Linked DNA regions of Struthio camelus. The main gene of each other region encodes a partner of the protein of the gene in region 2 in a complex. Links are inferred from orthologs where the notes say so. Each region holds a gene or a part of one and is shown on either strand. Other genes may lie near its edges. The genes, in order: FAM8A1, HERPUD1 and UBE2J1.

Region 1 (6,995 bases), on a different chromosome or scaffold from region 2:
TGTTCTTTGGTGACTTAGTGTGTACATTCCAGTAATGAAGAGTCACTTTAACCAAGGTCTGCGTTTAAACTTAATTCTGTACATGAACACACATACTTGCTACGAACGCCTAAATGGGATGAATGTATGTAGGCCACTAGTGGCTTTTGATTATGACTGGATGCAACAGCAATTGACCACTGTGGAATGACAACAAGTAGCCGATGATTAATGTCCAACAACTCTTATCCAAGGATTCTTTAAGAGGGGCCCCTATTTTTAGGGCACTTTAGTGTGAGGCAGGAGACGTGGTTTGAATGCCCCAAGCAAAGGAAGGCATTAAACTGGGATCTCATACATCCAGATGAATGTTTCAGCAGTTCCTTTAAAAACTGGTTAAGAACTTGCCTTGAAAACAAGATGCTGGGATGTGGATCAAAAATGAACCTCTGTAGCTCTGAACAGCAGCCAGAGTTAAGGCAGAACAGTGCTTTATTATTTTCTACTGACTGTGAAAGGCTCCCTGCTTAATAGTGATAATTATGTTTTTCAGCACTTACCTATATATAAAGAGCTTAAGATGGGATTTTAAGTTCCCTCTAAACCTTAACTATTGCAATATCAGCTTTTAGGTGCTTAACTCCCTTTCCTGGATCTAGTTCAGAAGGTTTCTCCTCGCCCAAATCTCACTTTTGGAAGAAGAGACTAATTAGCTGTCAAAGGCATTCAACTACTTATTTTCGTCAACCGACAGAATGAACTACTTCAGACTATCTCCCTTTCTGACTGCTCACAAGAGAAAACAAGCTCAAGCAGGGAGAAATCAGTGATGCAGAAGATTATTATAACTACTCCCATAATGTGTGGTAACCTAGAACAGCAATGAAACAAGTCCCTTTGCTATCAAAAAGGCTAATAAAGTGTGAGTTCCAACACCACTGGCAAGCCCTGTTGTTATAGTATGTATCTCTTTATCACATACACCATAGAATAATCTGAATGTTTGCGTTATACCGAATTTGCATTGTTTTTTGTAACAGTATTGTATTCAAGGCAGAAGAATGAAAAACTAATGACTGAAAAACTTGTCTGAAGAAAGACAATGTTACATTGTCTGCCTCCTCTACCATTACTCCCCTTCTCCCTGCTGTCAGTGATGCAATTTCACCTTGAGTACCCAGCATAACTACGCAGTGAGCTCCAATTGGTTATGCCTCTGTAATGCTGCTGACAATCCTAAAAGTTACAGGTGACTGGCAGCATTTTATGAAGCCTGTGAGATTTTGTAATTGCACCTAAATATCTGATCTGGCTTGCAGAAACTCTGATTATGCCAACACAAAAAAGGTCTGACTGACAGTGGCTGGTTCTGAAGGGTTTGCAGTGAACAACCACTTAAAAAAAAAAAAGTGAAATAGACTGTAGCTGATAAAGAAATCAGTGAAATATTATGAAGGAGGACCTCTGCTAAGCTTCTTTTACTGTAATTCTCCAAACTAGCTTTCCTAATACAAGTTAATAGCTATTCAAAGATTATCTATTTCAGGCTATCTTAAACATAATCTTGGGACTGTGGGAGGGTTTTTTTTTATATCTTCATAAATTCAGACTCCTCCTTGCCTTTGTTTTTTTCTCAAAGGGTCACCTCTAAGGTACCACATTAAATGATTTTCTTCTGTAGACTTGCATATCTTCCTTCCCTCTTTTCCTGCCTTTCTTTCATTCTTCAATGTCCTTCCTAATCATGCCGAAACTTGTCATGTTTCCCAAATCAATTATCCATATTGATTTTAACCAAGTGTATGTTACAAAACAGATGACAGTATAATTAGAACCATGACTGCCAGCACATAACCGCATTTCTTTTAATTAAGGTGATATGGGTTATTAGCTAAGCACAATTTCAGTTCACTTCAGCTTGTCTATACTAGGGACTCGCAACACAGAAATTACTTCTATTTTTAAATAAATTAGGATTATATGGGAGAAAAGTTTATTTGTTTTTGCCTAACAGAGAGAGAGAAACACTTATTTTCATTTTTGTTTCCAGTTCTGCTATTTGCTGTGTTAAAAATGGGAAACATTCCCTGTTTAACAGTATTTATTACTAGTTCATCCAGCATGGTGCTATGTTAACATTTATGTTATGCAGAAGTTCAGGTCTGGTTGTGATGCTTACTAGCATACAGGAACCTTAAATATTAGAAACTATTTTGGAGAATTGTGTTTAAACTTCCTGTAGGGCTCCTAGTTCTTCAGTATTTTTGGAATGGGAAGGAGATGAATGAAATACGGGAAGAGATGAGAAAAGGGAGATGGAAAAGAAACCAGCATTTAGACAACACATCAAATAAACCGTAGAAATACAGAAGAGAAATAGCAAAGTTTAAGTTAACACCTTTTCTTCCTTTTATTTCTCCAAAAAAATTCAACACACTTCCTATTAGCAAAGGTAACTGCAAGGCTACTTTATTTTAGGGAAAGAGAAAGTGTTTTTAGATTTGCTAGAGGTCAGAAACAACAGCTGTAATCACAGGTGGCTATGACAAGATCAAAAGAGAGAACAAATTTGTCCGGCTGCACCTGCTTGGAAGCAAGGCAATGCCTTATTCCTTACTTGGGTCTATGACTTCATCTACCACAGTCTATTAAAATTAATATATCTGTTATCTGGGGCAAAATCAGAAGTCAACTGAAGGGAGACAGAGGGAATCTGAATTATGGCAGTTTACATGCTGGCCCTTCACCCTGTCTTGCCAAGCAAAGCTAATCCCTGTCCTGACTTCAGAGGGGAAGGCCGTGGAAACGAAGCCGCACACAGAAGATCCTGACTCCCTTCTCACACTCCAGCACAAGGCACTAGTGCAAGTAACCTCACTGCCCGCAGACAGCTTTCAGATTTCAGCCTGTGAAACGGGGACTTCCCGCCTGACCAGACCTGAACGGCTCAGCCTTGGACGGCGGAGGGGGCCGACGGGCTGGCGGCGCCCTCAGCGGGGGCGCGGGCCGAGCTCCCTGCTGCGCCGGCGAGCGCGGCTCCCCGCGCTGCCCCCGGGCGGCGCGACAAGCCGCTGCGGCCGCCTAAGGCGTTGGGGGGGGGGGGGGAAAGAGGGGGAGGAGGCCTCGGTATTTATATTGAGGAAGAATTAAACGTCTCCTATACGTGTGTTTTTGCTGGGAGACCTTTCGAAAGCGCAGGTTCTACTACGCTTGGGACTGGAGTAGCATGGCATTACTTCTCCTCCGCGCTTTGGGTCTTGTTTTTAGGTTTGCAACCCCGGCAGCCGCTTCCGTCGTCCCGTCCGCGGCGAGGGGGAAGCGACCCCTCGCACAGGGCAACTCACGACTCTTGCTAGCACGGGACGAGCGAGCAACGGGAAAGGCGCTTCCAGGGTACACGCTCAAACTGCCGTCAGCAGCAGCCAAGAAACCCGAGGCAGCGCCGCAGGGCAAGGAGAGCTCAGGGCAGGGAAGGTCTCCCTCCTCTCCTCCCCGCCCCGCGCAGGAAGGCGTGAGGGGAACATCTCCCTCAGCCCTCTCCTTAAGGCAAGGGCAAGGGGCGCGGCAGCGACCGCAGGGGGTGGCGCCTGCCCTGACGCAGCTGAACCTGTCTCGTAGGCAGGGCCAGCCCCCGCGGTGCGGCGCGGCTTGGGGAAAAAAGAGGCTCTACGTGTGCGTGGTGCGCGGCGCGGCCGTTAAGCCGCCGGGTCTCGCGTAAGGCAGCCCCGGCCCGAAGGGCTCGGCGACGCCAACCGCTGTAAAGGCCCTGGGCCCAGCGCGAGACCCCGCCCCCTTCCCTTCCTTTGCTCCCCTCCCCCTCGCCCTCTGCCTCAGCACTAGGCGAGACCATCTCACGGCGGGGGGAGGGGGAGGAGAGAGAAGCCTTCCTGCCTCCTAGCGAAGCTTGTTCTTTCCTCGCACAGAAGCAGAAAGGGGACCACTGGAGGGTGGTACGCTCCTCGCCGCGGAGGGCCCCTGAGGGGCTCTTTCTAGGTTGTGCCCGCTTCTCCCCTCTCCCCCTCTCCGCCTCGGCGAATGGGAGAGGCGAGGCGTCGCCCTCGCGCATGCGCCGTGAGCGCAGACGCTCAGTGTCAGAGGGGATGGAGGAGATGGCGGAGCCCGGCGCGGAGCCCGGCGCGGGTCGGCCCGGAGCTGGGGCGGCGGCAGCAGCAGTAGCAGCGACGGCGGGGGGAAGCAGCGAGAGGAGCGACAGCGGCGCGAGAGGGGAGGCCGCGGCTGCGTCGTCACTCTCGTGCTCCTCCTCCGCAGCCGTTGGGGGCGACGGCGGGGAGGCGAAGGCACTGAGCGCGGCGGAGTACGCGCGGCGCGTGCACCAGTGGCTCTGGGACTCCTACTGCGGCTACCTCAGCTGGCAGAGCTGTCTCCCCGCCCTGCTGGCCGCCGCCGGCCCCTCGTACGCCGCGGGCCCCGGCCGCGCGTCCTCGCCGCCGCCGCCTCCTTCCTCCTCCTCCTTCTCTCCTCCTCCTCCTCCGCCGGGGGCAGCCGCCGCTTACTACAGCCCCTTCTACGTCTTCGCTCCGGCGCCAGCCCCCACAGCCACCGCCGGGCCGGGGCCCCGCGCCGCCGCGGCCCCCTCTTGGCAGGGAGCGGCGGGCAGGTTGGCCCCCCTGCCCAGGGCTGCCTCCAGCGGCGCCGTCGGCGCCGGCACCAGCGGCGCCCCCCGCGAGGCGGCGCGGCCGGCAGGTGAGAGGGGCCGCGGGGGTGGAGGGGGGGGGGATCGGGCCTCGCACCTCGCTCTCCGCGCCCTGGGGGGAGGCGGCCGCGTCCCTGCTCAGCCGCCTCCGGTCGCGCACCGGGGTCGGCGACGCCATCCCCGGCGGTAGTGCTGGCTCACGGCTCGCAGCACCTTCTCCCTTCTTCGCTGTTTTGGGCTCCTCCGGCGCAACTCTTGGAGGCGGCATGTCGAGGAGGAAGCGAGGGGTTTTGCAAGGTTGGGGTGCGCTTCTGTGGGCGGCGGACCTGTCATGCGAAAGGTGACAGCTGAAATACTGAGTTTGTAAATCCACAGTTTATTCAGTGAGTAGATTTGAGAGGGTTGACTTGCATTTGCCGCTTATTACTTTGATATTTGTGAAGTGTTTTAATGGATAGGAAGGAATTTTTTTTTTTTTTTTGCAGTAAAACTCATTCTGGTATTGACAGGACCATAGCTGTTCATGAAGTGTCTAGCTTTTTAAATAGTCTGTTTGGATGAAGAAAGCTAAACTAATTTTCTCTGTTTGTTTTAGTGGACTCTTGGTGCTCAAAATCATTTAAATGAAACTGAAGTAGAGAGATTAAAATATGCTTACATGCTAGTGACAGGACCTGAAATAAACAAAAATCTGTTATGACTTAGACAGCTTTAGCAGTGGAATAACCTTGCTTCTGTTTACATTTGTTCGAAAGTAAAACAAACTTTTACTGTGATCTCATCAGAAGGAAAAACTGGAACACAAACATTTCTTGACAAACTCTAAGAGTGCCTAGATGACATTCCGTGAATGTTTGGTAATACCTTGAGTAATGGCAGAACACTGCTAAAGGACTTTGGAAAAAAGCCAGATCTCCTTTCTTTCTCTAGGGCAAACTACAGCATTACTGATCTGTAACATTATTTCTAAGCTCAGTGACTGAATGTGAGGGGAGAAATTTTCTGTTTCTCCTTCATTTTAAAAGGAAGGGAATCTAGCTCCCAAACTTGCTGCTTTGTTGTGGGTTTAGGCAGATGTTGTTTCAGCATGGTTGTAACACAAAGTAGTATTTTTTTTAAATTATGCCCTGATTTATATATTGCTTATGAACAGCTATTACTAGTCACTGGAAAAGATGATGTGGACAAAATCTAGACTGAAATAACTCTTGGATTTTTACCTAATTCTTCAGGAACTAATATCACATGCTAAAGGTAACATAGGGTATGAATAACACTCCGTTCTGCTGAATGTGGCTATTCTCAGTGCTAAATATTGTTGCAACACCCAGACTTCCAAAGGGAATTCTTTGCATGATATAGTGATATGATAGAATTATAAACAAGCACTGTTGTGCCAGTGCTTTGGCTCCCAATTGCATATGGATTTATCTGGAGCAGCTAAAGCGATTACAGCTCCTTCCCTTCTGCTGCAGGTGATTGCTCACTCAGCAGAGTTGGTAGGACAGGACTTATATCCATCCCTAAGCCACTGTGGTTTACAGTCCAGTGTGTGCACGTAAACCGAACTAAGTGACGGTTTATGTTAATATTGCAGATCTTAACTAGGATGCCCAAAAGGGGAATTAAACTGTTTCTTCCTCTTCAATCTGCCTGTGTGTCAGTTCAGTATCAGTAGCACTCCGGGCAGTACCAGGCCTTTGGTGGATTTAGTCATCATTTTTCAAGATGTTTCCTCCCCTCATCCCTCTTGATTTATCCTCCTTGCCTTAGTGTAGGAGATTACTGCTCTTATTCTGGGAACAGCGGAACAAAAAGTGTGTTCAAGCCTCAGCTGCCTTATTTTACTGTCTGGCTGGCTAAGTGCAAACCCATCTTTGTTACTAGGTTAATGTCAGACTTTGAGCTGAGATGGATGCATGTTTCATTCAGCTGTCCCTCCAGTACAAATAGTAACTCCTGACAAAACAGTGGATTTCTGATGCTGGGAGTATATTAAATGGCTGCAATAGAAATCTGCTAGAGTTGAGGGGTTATCAGAGTTTCTTAATGTAATGGAGTTTAACATAATTCGGATGCTGATTTTCATGGTCCCAGACACTTCTTCCTTATCCAGTTATTGTTTCAGTCTAATAGTTTCCACTGAAACTCTTAGCACATTCACTGAAGTTAGTGGCACATTTTGAAGAATTCATTTGCTTTGTGTTCTCCAGTGCTATACGCTCGAGCCTGTAGCTTGTTGGGGAAATTGGCTGCGTTCCCTCCTGTCTCAGTTAAAGAATCTTTAATTAGAATTTTGTTGACAACTTGTTGACAAACAGAATTGAATCCACTTAAGTATTAGTTACATAACAGTCATGCT
Region 2 (7,858 bases):
CCAGCAACTCCATCAACATTTTAAAGCTCCTTAAAAGCTACTTGCATATAAAAATGACTTGATTTTACTCTTTTCATTTTCAGGATTTCTAGGTATGTATTTCATAATTCTGTCACATATATAATCAGGTCCTGTCTGGTTATAAGAATGCAATTGGAAAAAAATACAGGGAACTGCACTCAAAACAGTTTGGCTTGTTAGCCCTGAAGTGTTTATACTTGCATATATACACTGCTGTATAGAGGCACTAAGTCAAGAGCTGCTGTGCTAATGTACCTGTACTATATTCAGACCAGAGCTGTTTCACATCTGGCAAACTCCAAACATAAATAGACTAAATTCAAATCACCTGTAATGGACAATCAAAGTGTACCTTTAAATATGCTAACCCACTCTTGGAAGTAAAATACATCTTTGGCCATTTAGTATCTATTGCACTTTACACCAGTAAGTACTCAGTTCAAGTACTAACGCTTATCTTTAGCTTCCTCTCTACTGACTTTCCAAGTCATTAATGAGAGCAGTTAAAATGCCTTCAACTAATAGTTGTCTTTCTACCTCAAACTGATGTGGGGTCAGAAGTCCTTTTCTGTCCTAAACAGCTATGTCTTCTGCACACAAGCACAGCTTTTCCATCCAAAAGAGCTGGGCATATGACAGGTCATATGCTATTTAACAAAACTGAATTTACCAGATATAGACTTTGCCTAGCTGTAAAATACAGCTAGGTTGAAAGTTTTGATGTTTCTCAACAGATTCCATTAGAATCTTTACTTATGAGCCATAAATGAATTTGTATAGAACTTATTCAAAAACATTTTCACACCCCTAACTAGTAGAACTATCACCAGAAGGAATACTGTTATTACTGTACTACTGCAAGAAAAGTCTACAGCATCAGTGAGCTTTAAAACAGTCATTACATACTTTCCATTCTTCAGATAGTCAGAAGCTCAAGATTCAGAGTAGCACGTTAAGTCAGTATGACTACCTTTGCATCAGTTTCTTGTGCGATCACAGGAGTCTTGAGGTTGTATACCAAATGAAGAGCATGCAATTCCTCCTGCTAAAACATAAGCGAGGGCACGTTAAAAAGTAATTGTTGCACCTTGCTTGACATATAAGCACTACATAACCTTTTTTTTTGTTTGTTTGTTTTTACCTTCAGCAGCAACTCTCTCAGATAATGATGGTCAAGCAGCAGCTTCCCAGAGTAAATCAATCTTTGGTCCTCTTCAGGCTTTGAGGGAAGACAGAATATGGTGGTTACCTATTCTGGCAAGTGCACGCAAACATTAGACATTTGCATTACGCATAAAACTGATTAATATGCATCTGTCCATTTGACCATGAATCATACAATTGTAAGTACCTTGCACATTAAGTTGCAGAAGGAATTGTGCACATCCAAGAATTTGGCTAATACGATTAGAGCAGTTGATTACTGAAGTGCAAAATGCCTAGCACTGAGATCTAAACCAGCAGGAGGATAAAAAAACATTCTGTTGGCAAAGGACTTGCAGTCTTTTGTCAGGACTGTAAAAGAGTTGACATGTAGCTTCCTAGAAGCAGAGGTTTGCAGCACTGTCTAATCTGAGCAGCACTGAAGGTGTTACCAAATAAATCTGTTATACCCCCTGAGATGAATCTGAGCAGCTGTTCACCTAAAATCCTCCTACTGCTGCATAACAGTTAGTGAGAACACACTAATCTTGTTTCTGGGCAATCACATAAGTCCACACACAGCTTATTAGAGCTTTCATAGATGCTAGTAAGTCATGTCTCAAGCAGCTGCTAAAAAAGTTCACACAAGTGATGCAATACAGTTAGAACCTGTGTCAGCATCCAGAAGCTGAGTGAGGTGGCTTGCTTCCACTAAACTTAGTCATCGAGAGGCAAAAGCACATATCCTCCAGTGAGAACATTTTGTACATGAAACTTATGCCAACTGCCCATCAGGTGAAACAAAGAACAGCACTACATGCTTACTGAACTTTCCTGAGGTCAATCCACAAGATCTTGCGACTTAAAGCAATTCCAACTGCTGCATTTAAAGTTTCAAACAACTCTGCAAAGTCTGCTACTGAGCTATAAATATTCAGCTGCTGTCTTCAAGGTCTTCTGCTTTACAGTGTAAGAGCTTTTAAATGCTGTGCCTATTAAACCAAAAAGGTGTCTCAGTCCACTGGCTACACCCAAGATATTTCATGCAATTTCATAGATGCTGTTTGACAGGAAACCTTGCAGATGCACAGTTTTCACCTAAACAGTAAGATTTATTGACCCCGCCCATCATTCAGACCAAGTTCTCCCAACAAAAGCAGAAAAGTTTCCAACCATACGCTGTGAACACTTCTAAAGCACACTCAGTACCCTCTCAGGCAAAGTTAATATTTAACAGCGGTTAAACAAGAAACCGAATCAACTCCCAAAATAACTCCCAGCAGAGCCCGAACAAGTTTCACATCTATATTTATCAGCAAACCAGAGGCAACGGATGCGAGGCGGTGCAGGACCCCCTCCCCCGGACCGCCTGCAGAAGCGGGCGCTGGAAGCGCTCCCCGCCCCTCTGATTTTCTGTTTTAGAGTCTCGCTAAGAGCGTGCGTCACTCGGCCGAACGGCGGCGGCCCCGGAAGGCTCGCCGGGCCGCTCCGGCCGCCGGGGGCCGGGGCTCGCAGCCGCCCCACCGCGGCGGCGGGAAGCGGCTCGCGCACGGCGCCGAGGCCGTTAAACCGGGGCGGGGGGGGGGGGGGGGCGGCGGCGGCTCACCGGCGCATCGGGTATGAGGCGGCGCAGCTCAGCCTTGAGGCGCCGCACGGTCCAGGCGGGCTCGGCGCGGAGCCGCAGGTCGGGGTGTCGCTGCGTGGGGCTCTTGACCAGCAGCGCCAGGGTCTCCTCCATGGCAGGCGGGCGGGCGGGCGAGCGGCCTCCCGTCACCGAGGCGCCGGGCCTTTATAGCGCCTCGGTCACGCCCCGGCCCGCTCCGCCGCCCGGCCGCGCTGGCTGGAGTTGATTGGCTGCGGCGGGAGACGAGGCTGCCACGTGGGCCAATGGGAAGGAGAGCCGGGCGGAGCGCGGCAGGCGGGCGGCGGCAGGGGGCAGCGGGCGGGGCGCGTGATTGGGCGGCGCCCGGGGGGCCTCCGGGGCGCTGCCGGGGCGCGGGGGTCGCCGGGGGTTACCATGGGGACGGGGCCTCGGCCCGGGCCGGGTCACCGAGGGGCCTGGCGGCCGTTGCGCGGTGCCAGCGGAGCCCTGCGGCGCCCCGGGCCGGGCCGGGCCGGGCCTGAGGGGGACGCGAGTCCCCTCGCCCCCTCTCTTGCCCCGCGTCGGCCTGGCGCGTTTAACCGGCCGCTGCGGGACCCCGTCGGGCCGCGCCTGGGCAGCTGCCGAGCGCCTCCCGCGCCTCTGCCCCTCGCCGGGGGCCGGGGGAGGAGGCCGCGGGCCGGCGACCTGCCGAGAGAGGAGAGGGCAGCCCTCGTGAGCTGCCTCTGCCCTGTCCTTTGTCACCTGCCCAGACCGCAGCTCCGTAATACGTTGGCTTGGGCTGCGAGGCCAATCTGACGGATCCCTGACTTCAGTCTTCTCTTTCCCCCTCCTGTACAACAGCAACGCAGCTCTCTGGGAGGCCTGCCGTGTGCCAGATCTACAGGCCGATCCGGGTGAAGCGTCACCTTTTTTGATATGATAATTTTACCAGATCTACACTATTACCTAAATAATTTTGTTCCTGAAATGGGGGGGGGGGTGTGGAAGCAGGACACAACAGCTTCTGCATGGGTCCCTGGGTCCCCAGTAAGCATGCAGGGGTGTGCAGGCTGTTGGTGAAGCGTGATAATTCATTAAGCTATCACTGACAAAAAAATAGTCTCATCTTGTAGAACTGCAGCTTCAGAATTCTCTTTCAGATACTCGTCTTCCTTTGAGACGTGATCCAGCAACAGGAAAACCAGTGGTAATGACACTAATGCACCAGGAGAGGGTTTTAGCGTACTTTTAAAAAATCAAGTAAGAATGTGGGAAGTCAGTTGTATCTGTCTGCACCACGTATTTACTCTGCTCGTTTCATTAGCTGCTTAGTACTCTTTGGCAGCCATACCTGTTGCCCAAAGGCACGGATAGATGATTTTGCAGCCAATAGCTGATTTTGCAACCAGAAAAGACACTCAGCCCCTGGGGTGCATCATTTCTCAGCTTCCTGAGAAAGATCTGTGCCCACAGGGCGTTACTGCCTTGGGAAGCAGCAAGTAAAATCAAAATGAAATGAACTGAGCTTATGTCTGGTCTGATGAACTGTTCTCACCTGCCAGAGTACAACAGCACACTTTGCAAGGGTGAAGAAAGCAGGCAGGCGCTTTCCCGCACTGCATCCCTCCCCACAAAGAGTACTTCAGGAACAGAAGTAGCTTAAGAGCTGCAGAAGAGCTGTGCTCCTTCCTCACTTATCCATGAGTGGACTCAGCACTAAAGAGGAGGGGTTTCATTCCCCAGTCCTAACCAGTAAGTCACTTCTGTAATCCCAAAGACAAGGAAAGATGCCTGAGACTGTCAGAGCTATCTGCCGCTCTTGCTGTGCTAGCAGGGACCATGATCTGCGTCCCCCAGCTCCTGTTGGCAGTGGAAGAGGGAAAGCCAAAGGAAATGTCAGAGGGCACCCTTGCAAATGTCCCCCTTTAAGGACAGGGTGCCTTTGTTTGCTGCTTGCTTGGTTGCAGCCTTTGTTCAGAGTGCCCAGAGGGCTCCCGTGGGTGGCAGAGACAAGGCTGTGGAGAGATTAGTATCCCATTAGGATCTCGGGTTTTGCTTGCGCGTTCTGCTGGGACTCCCTATGCCTGGCTTTCAGCCGGCCGCTAGCCCAGGGATCGCGTGAGCAGCTGTAGTCACAGTGCCGTTCCTGCCTCAGGGTTCAGCTCCCACATGTCCCCGTTAATGAACAAGAGGGGCAGAGCTCCTTCTCCTGCCCTAGCTGTTGCTGGAAACCACGGACTAGCGAGCACCTGCTGGGCAAGCTGGGCGGGAGGATAGACCTCCTGGGACCCTAGCTCTGGGGGCAGGGGGTCCCCTCAGATACGCCCTCTGCATGCCAGCCCTGCCTGTTTGAATGTGGCTGCTCCTTATTGCTGCATATCAGCACACATGGCACAATAAAAGATTTATGGGATAAAAGTCTGGCCTCTAATGGCTAGCAGAGGCTGGCTACAGGGGCCATGCGCTGTGGTCAGAAGTGTTGGGTTTCATACAGAGGACCAGGCAAGGTGTATGTTTCTTATTCCAAAGTGCTCTCGTGTGTGGTCTGCACATACCATCTAATCTGTTTGTGGTGTCGGGAAGCCATTCTTTCTGTGGCAATTCCTTTTCAGTTGGCCCCAAATGCCGTCTCTTGCCTCCCCCTGCTCCTCGAACAAGCTCTGCGTGGCTGAATCCCAACTGACCTGCAAGTCCGCTCTGCCTCCAAACCCCAGGCACAGCAGAGATGCCGGGGACAGAAACAAGACAGAGATGCTGCGACACAGGAAGCGGAGCAGCACATCAACAAGCAGCTGGAGCCTGCTCAATGCTCAGGGAGCCAGAGGCAGCTCATCCTCGGTCTTTCCAAAACTCACTGCACTCCCAAGCATCAGAGTGAGCTGCACGGCATCCATCCTTTCCACACTGTCAGTTCCCCAGGAGAAACAGCAATTATTTGGGGCCTCACTGAAAGCATACAAGGCCAGTTGGAAGAGGGGCCCGGAGAGGTGGAATCACCACCCTTACGAGTTTTTGAGACTCAATGGACAAACCCCAGGCAACCTCATGACTCTGCTTTGAGCAGGGAGGTGGACTAGTGACCTCCCAAAGTGCCTTCCAACCTGAATGTTTCTGTGGTTCCAATTGCTAAACCTCAACAGCTCTCCTCCGAGTTAGCAAGGAGTGCTTGAGCCCCTTGGAAAGCCAGACCCTCGCTGCCTTCAGGCCCTCACTGTCTTCACCTGAAGCATCTGTGAACTGACAGATCTAAAATTAGGGGACACACCTGGACCTTTGGTAACATGTGCTCCAGTCCCAGAGGCTGATTCAGAGCTCTTGAAACAGAGGCAAAACAAATATCTGCCCTGATACTATCTGCTTAACTTAGGTTTTGTTCCATAGCAACAGATTCACGGACACTGCTCCAAATACAAGGTGTGACTAGCATGTGATCAGCACTGCCCTATTGAACAATTAACTCTGATTTGCCAAAATCGTAGATGAAGGGCTCCAAGCTTGTTTTGCCACCAGTACCTGTGTAAGCATTAACCCCCCGTGTAAATCAGGATTATCTCACTGACCTCAACACAATTACTGCATGAAAAAAAGCTCAGGGTTGATCCTGGGTGGGGGGGAATCACCGATTAGTTTATAGCAGCCTTTGGAGTTAGGCTAATTTTCACTACATAACAATCTCACTCCAGTGACCTGGAACAACAGGAGCAGCCGGTGGAGGATTTTACTATACGCAAAGAAATGTCCTGTAGCCTCAGAGACTGGCATATGATCTCTGCAACACCTCTCTGCCTGGCAGGCGATCTCTGCAACACCTCTCTGCCCAGGTGCAGTGACGCAGTGCAAGAGAGCGTGCCAAAAGATACAATCTGGCTTATGTGGGCCCCCTGGTTTGGTGATCCTGGAATCTGATGCGTTTTGGAGCTGTCCAAAGGTTGCTCTGCAGCCTGGATAGGTCGAAGATCAGGAGATTCAAACCGCACGATTCAAACACATCTGGCTGGTTCTCAGGATTTAGTTCAATGTATTTATTCAGGAAGAAGCACTGTGTTTGTCAGCCATCTCGCTTAATAAAATGTTTCATAATACTGTTGTAATAGTCCCTTCGATTGGTGTGGCTGTGTACAGTTTTTCTTCGAGCCCATGAACAAGATTTTAGTCTTGGGAAGACTTTATGCTGGGGTTTTTGTCTCTGGAGAGGGCGTGCTGCGAGCAGGCAGGGAGCTCGCAGCATGCTGTGCATCCTGACTGGCATCACACCTGGGCTGCGGATGGGATTTGGAGAGAAAGGGTCACCTGCATATCTCTTTGAGAATTTCTGGGCATAAACAGAGTGACTTCTACGCGAGACGTATCCTGAGTGCATCACCCACCGAAGTAACTGGCAGCACCCGAGGAAATCTGCTCCAGCATGAACAACGCAGCCTGGCAGTCAGACGGTGGGAGAGGCAGAGCAATGCTGAACAATCATACCAGGCCTCAGGACGTGTCAGGCCTTGGCCAGTCTTGAACTTACTTTAGCTTGATTTTAGGTTTATCTGCAAAAATCATTCAAGAAACTTTTGCTGTGCCTGCAGCTTGCTCTCGGATCAGATGCCTGTTGTCTAGCTCGTCCTAGCTGTAACAGCCCCCGGTGGTCAGGTTCTGTGTCTATCGCATGCTTTGGAGCTTGTTTAGTTATATTATTACTTAAATTGCTTTAGTCTCAGTTTTGCTTAGCTTTGTGCAATTGCATAGCCCTCCTCCCCAAAAGGCACCCTAGCACAAATAGGGAACGACTACCAAACCTGCGTAATCGTGGAGTTTGGGTTCATGGAGAGGGAACCTGGCACCAGCTGCCCCGACACAAGGAGGGTGCAGGCACTCTCAGGGCCCTCCCTTTCTCACCCTGCAGATCGGTAGGAGAGGCAGGAGTAGAGCATGGCCCCTCAACAAGTACAGGGTTGAGGCGTATGAAAACGTCCCTGGCGTAACCCAATGCCGAGAAGGGAGAAACGCTCTCAGCAGCGCCGCTGCGTGCCTCTCGGCCAAGCCCCGGGGGTGCGGGTGACTCGCCGTAACTACGGGCACGAGCCCCACATCAGGGGAAAGGGGCAGATGCTTGTGTCTATTGATTTT
Region 3 (7,769 bases), on a different chromosome or scaffold from region 2:
TGTAGACCTTTCCCCCATAACACTGGTCTGCCTTGTTACATGTGCCAATACAGAGACTGAAGAGGTCCACGGAGGGAAGAAAAACATTAGACCATCGCATTCACATTAGCAATGCGCTTACTCCTGGGGAAAATTTCCATCTATAGGGGCAAAACTTTATATAACTACAAAATACCAAAGTTACCTTGGAAGACTTCTCATTAAATTAGCAGTATTAACTGTACTATGCCACCTTTATTACAAAAAGAATGATATCTTATATGCCAGGAATCTCCCTCTCAGATATCTAAGGTTAAACTGTTCATGCAAAAAAGAATAACTGGTAAATATGCTTACCGTCAGCAAAATAATGCTTGGTGGTTTCATGGGATATTCAGGTGGTAGTACTATTCGCCCGTGATAAATTCCTCCATCGAAATCTGAATCTGGAGGGCCTCTAACGGTAAAGTGCCATTCAAAAAGATTATCCTAAAATGCCCCCATGAAAAAAGAAGAGTGCGTCAAAGAAGCAGACACCTAATTACCACTTTCTTGGAACAAGGACAGCCTAAAGAAACGCCAAATAGAAAAAAAAAAAAAAAAAAAATCAAACGGAGAACAGGACAGTCAACACTGTACTAAGGTTCTGATTAAAAGGATGAAATATCGTAACTTCAGGTAATTTTCTTACAAAATGGCTTTGTTGGAAAATTCAAGTTTATCATGCAAGCTTTTCACAGGAGTTGTACCAATTATGACAAAAGTTTTATTACCTGAAAGATGGAAAACTCAGGATCAAACAAGGGAAAGCTGGGTCTTTGCCCCAGTGAATAAGAATTTCTACAGAATTGGGAACAGAACCACCCAAAATGAGAACATGTAAAGACAGTCTCCCCTCTGAAAGCCCCTCCTATGCCCAACACAACACAGGGCTTTGACTCTGGCCCTATAGAATTCCCATTCTCTTTTGTTTCTCCATGAAGAATTCTGAAAAAGCTATCTTGCCTTACTGCATAGTAGGCATGATTTGAAATTTGGAACATTTTCATTGGACACGTAATTAACTTCTCCTTAAGTATTATTTCTTTAGGATTCTGCATTTGGCTTTCCATATCAGACCTCCTGACACCCACAACTCACAAAAAAAACCTCCTACTGTTATCATAGGAGTCCAATGAGGCCTGCTGTCAGTGAATGAGATCTCATGACTCATGCTGAATGTTAGCATCGCAGGGCTGTGACAGCCCATCTAGTTAAAAATTTTTTCAAGGACAGAGGGAACCGTCAATATTTCCAGCCTGTCTTTTTATCTGTCTCTCACTGCTCTCTTCCCAGTGAGTCACTGTTTTTACCCTGAAAAAAGACCTTCATGCAAGTTACTATTGACTGACAGTATGAATTAAACCTTGCATTTCACCTCAGGAAGAAGAGGGCGGGAAGAAAACAAGATACAGACAAAAACTGGTCAATAATAAAGTATATTTTACAGTACCGAGAAACATGCACCGTGCTCTAAGTATGCTGTGTGCTACGCATTTCTGCGAACAGTCAAATCAAATCCCAAAATTGACCATCACAAGACATTACCTTTTTAATATTCTAGCAGAATCAGAATAGGTTTCCTTTTAGACTTCTAGCCACCAGAATTTCACTGCTCTCTCAGCTCAGAAACTTAACTAACTGTTTAGAGGACCTCAAAGTAGTACCTATCTGTGGCGGAAACCAAGTGTTCTTTCTTACAAGTCAGTGCATCCATGGCAGACCTGTACTCATTTAAAGGTCTTTCATGCAGTTTTTTGCACTCAAAATAGGAAGTCCATGTAGCTCATCTAGTTTCAAGTGTTTTGTTGAGCAACTCAGTAACTGAACCAGATATCAAGTTGAGCTTTACACGCCCAAAACTAAAACATAATATATTTATGTAGACTCAGAGCCTCAGGAGGGTGAGAATAAACACATTACACCCATGTGATGCAACTGCTCAGGTGCAATGTAAAACCATTACTATCACGTACTCTCATTAAGAACCTGGTTCCATAATACCATTAGATGTGGAATTCTACCACTGATTTCCATCTTAGGAAAAAATGCCAAAAGAATGGAATTAATTTTAAGAAGGTGTATTAATATCTAAAAATACAAACAAGTTTTTAATATATATGCACACAGAGAACTTAGAGTATATATATTACACAGGCTAATGACAAGCTCCTGCAAACATACGGAGAAACAAACCTCCAAAGGTTGTGCATGGTAATGATCTGTAGGATCCTTCAATTCTGCAGCTTCTTTCATTAAACGTTTGACAGCTGGAAAAACAGAAAAATGGGGACAGGAAAATAAAGAAAGAAATTACTTATACATACTGCATAAAAAATAACAAGCATTTCTTGAAGGGCTCCTTTCCGCTAACTCATCTTTTTCAGCACATCACACCTTCTTCACATGAGTTAATAATCCAAAACAAGATAAATTACTCACGCCGAATAATGATTTAAATGAGCCATACAAACACAAAGTTATGGAAAATATGTTCCATGGTTAGACTTTCTCAAAAGAATGCCTCAACACTGAGATTAAAATGATGTTAGATTATTAATGGCACCAATGATATGAGGAAAACCATAAATGTCATTAACAGAGTTTCAGTGTTTTAATACAAGATGTACAAGACCTACCCACCCTAACATTTGATCATCCTGAGTATCTCTGAACAACTGCTGAAAAGCTTTACCCTGACACCTCATGGCAGTGTTACATGACTACTCCCTTACTTATCCAAAGGGGTTAAAATAAGACTTGAGAAAAACTGGTATATTGGGAAGTGCAGGGAGATGCCGTATGCTTTATACTAGACTATTTGAAAACACATATGCCCAGTCAGAAGAATTTACCTAGGCCTTTGCATTTCAAACGAGCTAGTGAATGTGGACACACAGGTGTTCATCCTCCTTAAAATTCAGGATGGGCTGTAGTTACCTCTGCAGTTGTCTTCCATTTCAGAACATGCAGTATTCTCCGTATTTTCTGCATCTCCTTTCTCCTTCCCCTTCAGGAAATTTTGTTCCATCACTTGTCCCATCACTTTGCTCCGTGCACATCGTGCACTAACTCCTAATAAAAAGTCAGCTACACTGAAAAGAGGATTAAACCTAAGAATCACAGACAAGAAATCCAAGGATGCCACCTCAAGAATGAAGTTAGGTAGAAAGTCTTTACTCTCGCCTGCTTGCTGGGAAAAGTGAAATAAAATACTTGTGAAAGTCCCACTCACATAATTGCCTAACTGTGAAGAAGGAGAAACACCATCCAAATTCCCTTTCACAATAGCTTAATGGTAATCCTGAAAGTGAAACATAATTCCTCGATTTACAAAGTCTGGCATCACCATCCAACCATCACTTACGCACTTTCGAAACGCTGTGAGGGAGGCTATTCTAAATTCCATCAGAATAATTTAAATTTCTATCTACTGTGAGAAGTTCTCCTGGCTTCTTCTTCCTTTGCAGTTCTTGAAAGCTCTAACCAACAGCAAAAGTTCAAGAATTTCACCTCTTACAAACTGAAAAGCAAGCAGACTACACCCAAATTTGCTACTGCTTAATTTTCAGCTAAATTTGCTTAATTCTTGTACTGCCAGAGCAAGGTGTCAATAAAATACACTGTAGAACACATGAGATCACCTAGCAGATAGTAACATCCAGGATCCACTGAAAAATGTTTCATCTCTCATCTGCATTAAGGTTTACCCGTTCATTAGCAAGGAATAGTAAGAAAACCAGCCTGAACCAGAAACAGCTTCAGACCTGGAGCTGCTTCACAGCTCTGGATACTATCCTTTCAAAAAAAAAGAAAAAAAGAGAAAAAAAAAACAAACACCACAAGCTAACTCAGACCTGGGCGCTCCATCAAGAACAAAAGGCTAACCATGAAAAGACTGAAAACACATATAAAGAAACCTAACAAAGACAAGACAGAACAGTTCTGGATTACAATGCAGACAACTCTGTTACTAAGCTTTCCTGGACCAGGGACCAACCTAGAAAACAAATACAGTTCTCCTTTAGTAACATTGTATGCGGTTACCCTCGGTAACTGACGAAAAGCTAACTATTACAGCAAAAATAGTTTTCAAGACTGTTCTCCAGAAGACTACTGACACTCCGGGAAAGGCTTGCACCCAGCCCTTCTGACTTATTCCAAAAGGGACAGCCTTTTGGCTACTTAGATACAGGGCTGAAAGTCAGCAGCAAGAGTCAGAATTAGAAAAAATAAGAATTTGCACTAAGAGGGAACCAAGACAGCAGACAGGCGAGGAGCTCAGGCAGGAGGGCTCCTCTTAAGTAGTGTAAAGCATTCTGTTTTAGATGCTTTTGTACTTAATTAACATTGATAGCAATACTGTATATATTTTCTTAAAACACTACCTTACTGTCAAGAAGCCAGACTACAGGTATTTCATGCTAAGAAGTCAGCATAAAATATGCTGGAAGAACATGAAATATTCCGCTCTTAGAGCGTGCAATAAATATACCAAAATACATAATTTAGCTCTTGTATACCACACAGATCATTTGTCTGTCCAAAGTTTTCAATATTAAAAAGCCTAGTATGTCTTAAGAAAAAGAAGCATGTGTATTTGCATGTTGTTTAAAAATGCCAGCTAGCAAGTTGCAAGGAATAGTCTTGTCCAATAAAAGTTTATAAGAAAACATAAGCAAGTGAGAAAGGTGTTAAACTGCTTCTTCAAATATAGCACCGTATTCCTAAACACAGTCCCTCCTTTTGCTAGTGGAAACTGCAATGGAAGAAGTACAAATAATTTACAAAGTCTGGCTGCACTAGCACATGACACTTATCAGCTTCATTAAAAGGAGAGTTTCGATGCAAAATGTGGTACTTCAACCTACTTAAAAATCACATGAGTCATCTGAAGTTGTTTGGCAATGTCTGAAAAACTAGAACATTTTGTACCTACTCAAAACAAAGAATTTCAAACTGTCAGTGAAGTCAAAAAGCATCACTAACTCAACCAAAAGAAATTTCAAATCAAGATGTTAGAATTGCCCAAGATGAGTATTAAAGCCAAAATAAATCAAGGATTTTTTTTGCTAAGGTATGTCTATCAACATGAAAAATAACTGTAGTTTCACAGAAACAAGCTGTAACAATTTAAAATAATGTTCCTTGGAATTAAATATTGAGGAAATCCAGTTTTCTGAGATTACTCTACAGAGCAAAGAAGAATCTCACTCTCTGGCAGGAGAGGACAAGGAGGAGGAAGAGCTCTGAGCTGATCTGGGGAACAAAGGAAAGTAAAAGCTCTGTGGATCAACAGCTCTGCTTGACAAACTGTCTGTTCTTCTACACAGAACTCACAGGATTTTTCTGAAAAGTAAAATGTGGATGTCAAAATACAAGAAATACAAAAAATACAATTCAAATTTGAAGCTAAGTTACTTTGTTTTTGCAAAAAAAGTATCCAGGCAGACAATTTTTGCTTGTTACTTATGTTCTTTCCCAACACCACCACCACGGTTCCTGGTTAAATCCAATTTCTTGCTATTATGCCCGGGTTAAGCCATCCTGCATTTCCTATTCAATATAACTCCTTCTCTTGGACCCATCCTGAAGTCGTGTTCAGGCATTTCTGCTATCGCGCCCACTTAGCGTAGCCTACACGCCACAGCCAAGGCAAACATTCTATAGACAGAAAAGGGAAGCGCACAATCTTTATAAATGTAAATATTACTGCTTAAAGGGATGGCAGGATTTGAACATCAGGAGCGTTCATCTTACTACAGTATTATACTTTTAAAAGTCTGTTACCATGAAAATAAAAATATAGCCTTAAAACAGTTATTTTTAGCCTTGCAGAGGTCTGTTTTGTCAGTACTCCAAAGTGTTAACAAGGAGAGATTGTAATTCATTTTTATAAATCTATACGCTGTACACATGGCAATCAGATGAGCCGACCAGGGTTACTGTGTTACGTTAATGAAAACGTAACACACAACAGCGCAACAGGATTTCCTGTAGTATAACAAAGTGGTTTTCCTTTTTTAAGCAAAAACCTAGACACCATTAAAGCTTCCTAAAGATCTGCTATAATATCTGCAAAAAACACCAGCAATCAGGTACAAGAACTCAGCAAAAGGCACAGACGTGGGTGAGGGGAGAGGTAAGGCTGAGTGGGGAGGCACTCTGGCCAAACTGAAGTTAAAGGACACGGATAGTTAGGCCTCAGTTCAGCAGGGCTCAACCCCTGCATGTAAAAAGAAGTCCTTGTGTGTGTGTAAAGGTGATTACAGGACCATCAGAGAAATAAATTTATATTTAAGTGATCAGGGTTCTGTGCGACAGTATCTTCCTCAATAGAGAGCAACAGTCTCATTCTATCAGATTTCAGTTCTTCCCTTTGGAAAAAAAAAACTTAACAAAAAATAGTAAATAAAGAAGTCCAAAATAGTTGGTATAAAGCTAAAGATCTTTTAATCTTTCAAGTTGACTTATTTGATCTAGAAAAGAAGGAATAAAGCAATCTGACAGCTTCTACTGCTGCAGCAAATACTCATCGTTTTTTCCCTGACTTATAAATAAAATGTTTCCATTTCAAACAAGACTTAGAGATCTACTTAAGAGAAAAAGAGAAAAAGTTATTTTTCTCATGACTCTGTTGACTAAGACAGCATTGCTAGAGATGCAGTTTACTTTTCAAATCTGCCCAGGTTTTCCAATTGAATTAGATTGACGTAGCATTTATACGACACCTTTCATCCCACAGAATTTTAACTACTTCGCCTACTTACCATATTAGTAAAATACGGGTGCTTGCCTATCAATGATACTACTATCTACAATTAGAAGAATAAAAAGAGCATCAGATTTCATTGAAACTGCACAACAAATTTTAGATAAGAATCAGGTCTCTTAAATTAGACTATACTCAATGTCATGGGTGACATCTTGGGAAAGTCCTTTCAAAATCAGCTGTGACAGATTCGGATCTCCTTTCCCTCCCCCAAATCAATACCTGACTGCTGAGCCAACAGCGCCTTGTCCCCTGGCCAGGGTAATCACCCAGTGACTTAAGAGCCCCAAGTAAACAGTGTCACCTACTGAATCACCGGCAACAACTTCCACAGCAACCTCACATACCTTTGAACTCACTTACTCAAACACTCTGTATTTGCATTCAAAAGAAAATGCAGGCTATTATAGGCAAGGTAAAATTCATTTCAGGGAAGGAAAAAAAAAAAAAAACTCCAACAGTAAAGTCAGTCAATCTTTTAATTGTACAAGGACTGAATCACACCAAGAAAGAGGCAGGAATAAATTTTTGTTTACAGTACACGGGATTTCTCCTGAGATGACAACACCCAATGAGCTTCGATATCTTAAATCAAAAAAATCACTTTAAGCAATGAGGTCGCCAAAGAAGCAAGCAAAAAAATAATAATAATAATAATAATTAGAGCAAAGAGTCTTATCCGACTGGACATTTATGCATTACTTTTCCTACAACTCTTTGATATGGAGAATATCATACATAGGTGCTGTACTCTGTAGAAAATGATTTATTAAAACTGACCATAGAGAGACACTAACAGGTTCACAGTGACCTGCAGAGCGTCACTGTCTAACTATGTGTCACCTACTCCATCACAGACGTGGTTTTCCTGGACAGCTTAAAACCCGTGAACGACACGTGATCATTAGTGAATTAAACTACAATAGAGAAAGAGGGATTTGAGGCAGAAAAGTACTATGAAATACAAGTTATAATCCTT

Evidence for each region.
Region 1: HERPUD1 (region 2) and FAM8A1 share a complex: the UniProt entries of both Homo sapiens proteins name them as parts of the HRD1 complex. The link is inferred for Struthio camelus from reciprocal best matches to the Homo sapiens genes HERPUD1 and FAM8A1.
Region 3: HERPUD1 (region 2) and UBE2J1 share a complex: the UniProt entries of both Homo sapiens proteins name them as parts of the HRD1 complex. The link is inferred for Struthio camelus from reciprocal best matches to the Homo sapiens genes HERPUD1 and UBE2J1.

What each region holds. Positions count from the first base shown.
Region 1 is NC_090943.1:99,895,230-99,902,224, forward strand, and holds the start of FAM8A1 (protein FAM8A1), read left to right. Parts: upstream 1-3,929; 5' UTR 3,930-4,043; coding exon 4,044-4,683; intron 4,684-6,907; exon of another isoform or gene 6,908-6,995. UniProt on the Homo sapiens protein: Plays a role in the assembly of the HRD1 complex, a complex involved in the ubiquitin-proteasome-dependent process of ER-associated degradation (ERAD).
Region 2 is NC_090951.1:29,902,440-29,910,297, forward strand, and holds the start of HERPUD1 (homocysteine-responsive endoplasmic reticulum-resident ubiquitin-like domain member 1 protein), read right to left. Parts: upstream 3,026-7,858; 5' UTR 2,903-3,025; coding exon 2,771-2,902; intron 1,241-2,770; coding exon 1,163-1,240; intron 1,067-1,162; coding exon 992-1,066; intron 1-991. UniProt on the Homo sapiens protein: Component of the endoplasmic reticulum quality control (ERQC) system also called ER-associated degradation (ERAD) involved in ubiquitin-dependent degradation of misfolded endoplasmic reticulum proteins.
Region 3 is NC_090944.1:50,094,735-50,102,503, forward strand, and holds the start of UBE2J1 (ubiquitin-conjugating enzyme E2 J1), read right to left. Parts: upstream 3,089-7,769; 5' UTR 3,062-3,088; coding exon 2,959-3,061; intron 2,289-2,958; coding exon 2,215-2,288; intron 469-2,214; coding exon 337-468; intron 1-336. UniProt on the Homo sapiens protein: Catalyzes the covalent attachment of ubiquitin to other proteins. Functions in the selective degradation of misfolded membrane proteins from the endoplasmic reticulum (ERAD) and is essential for cells to recover from ER stress.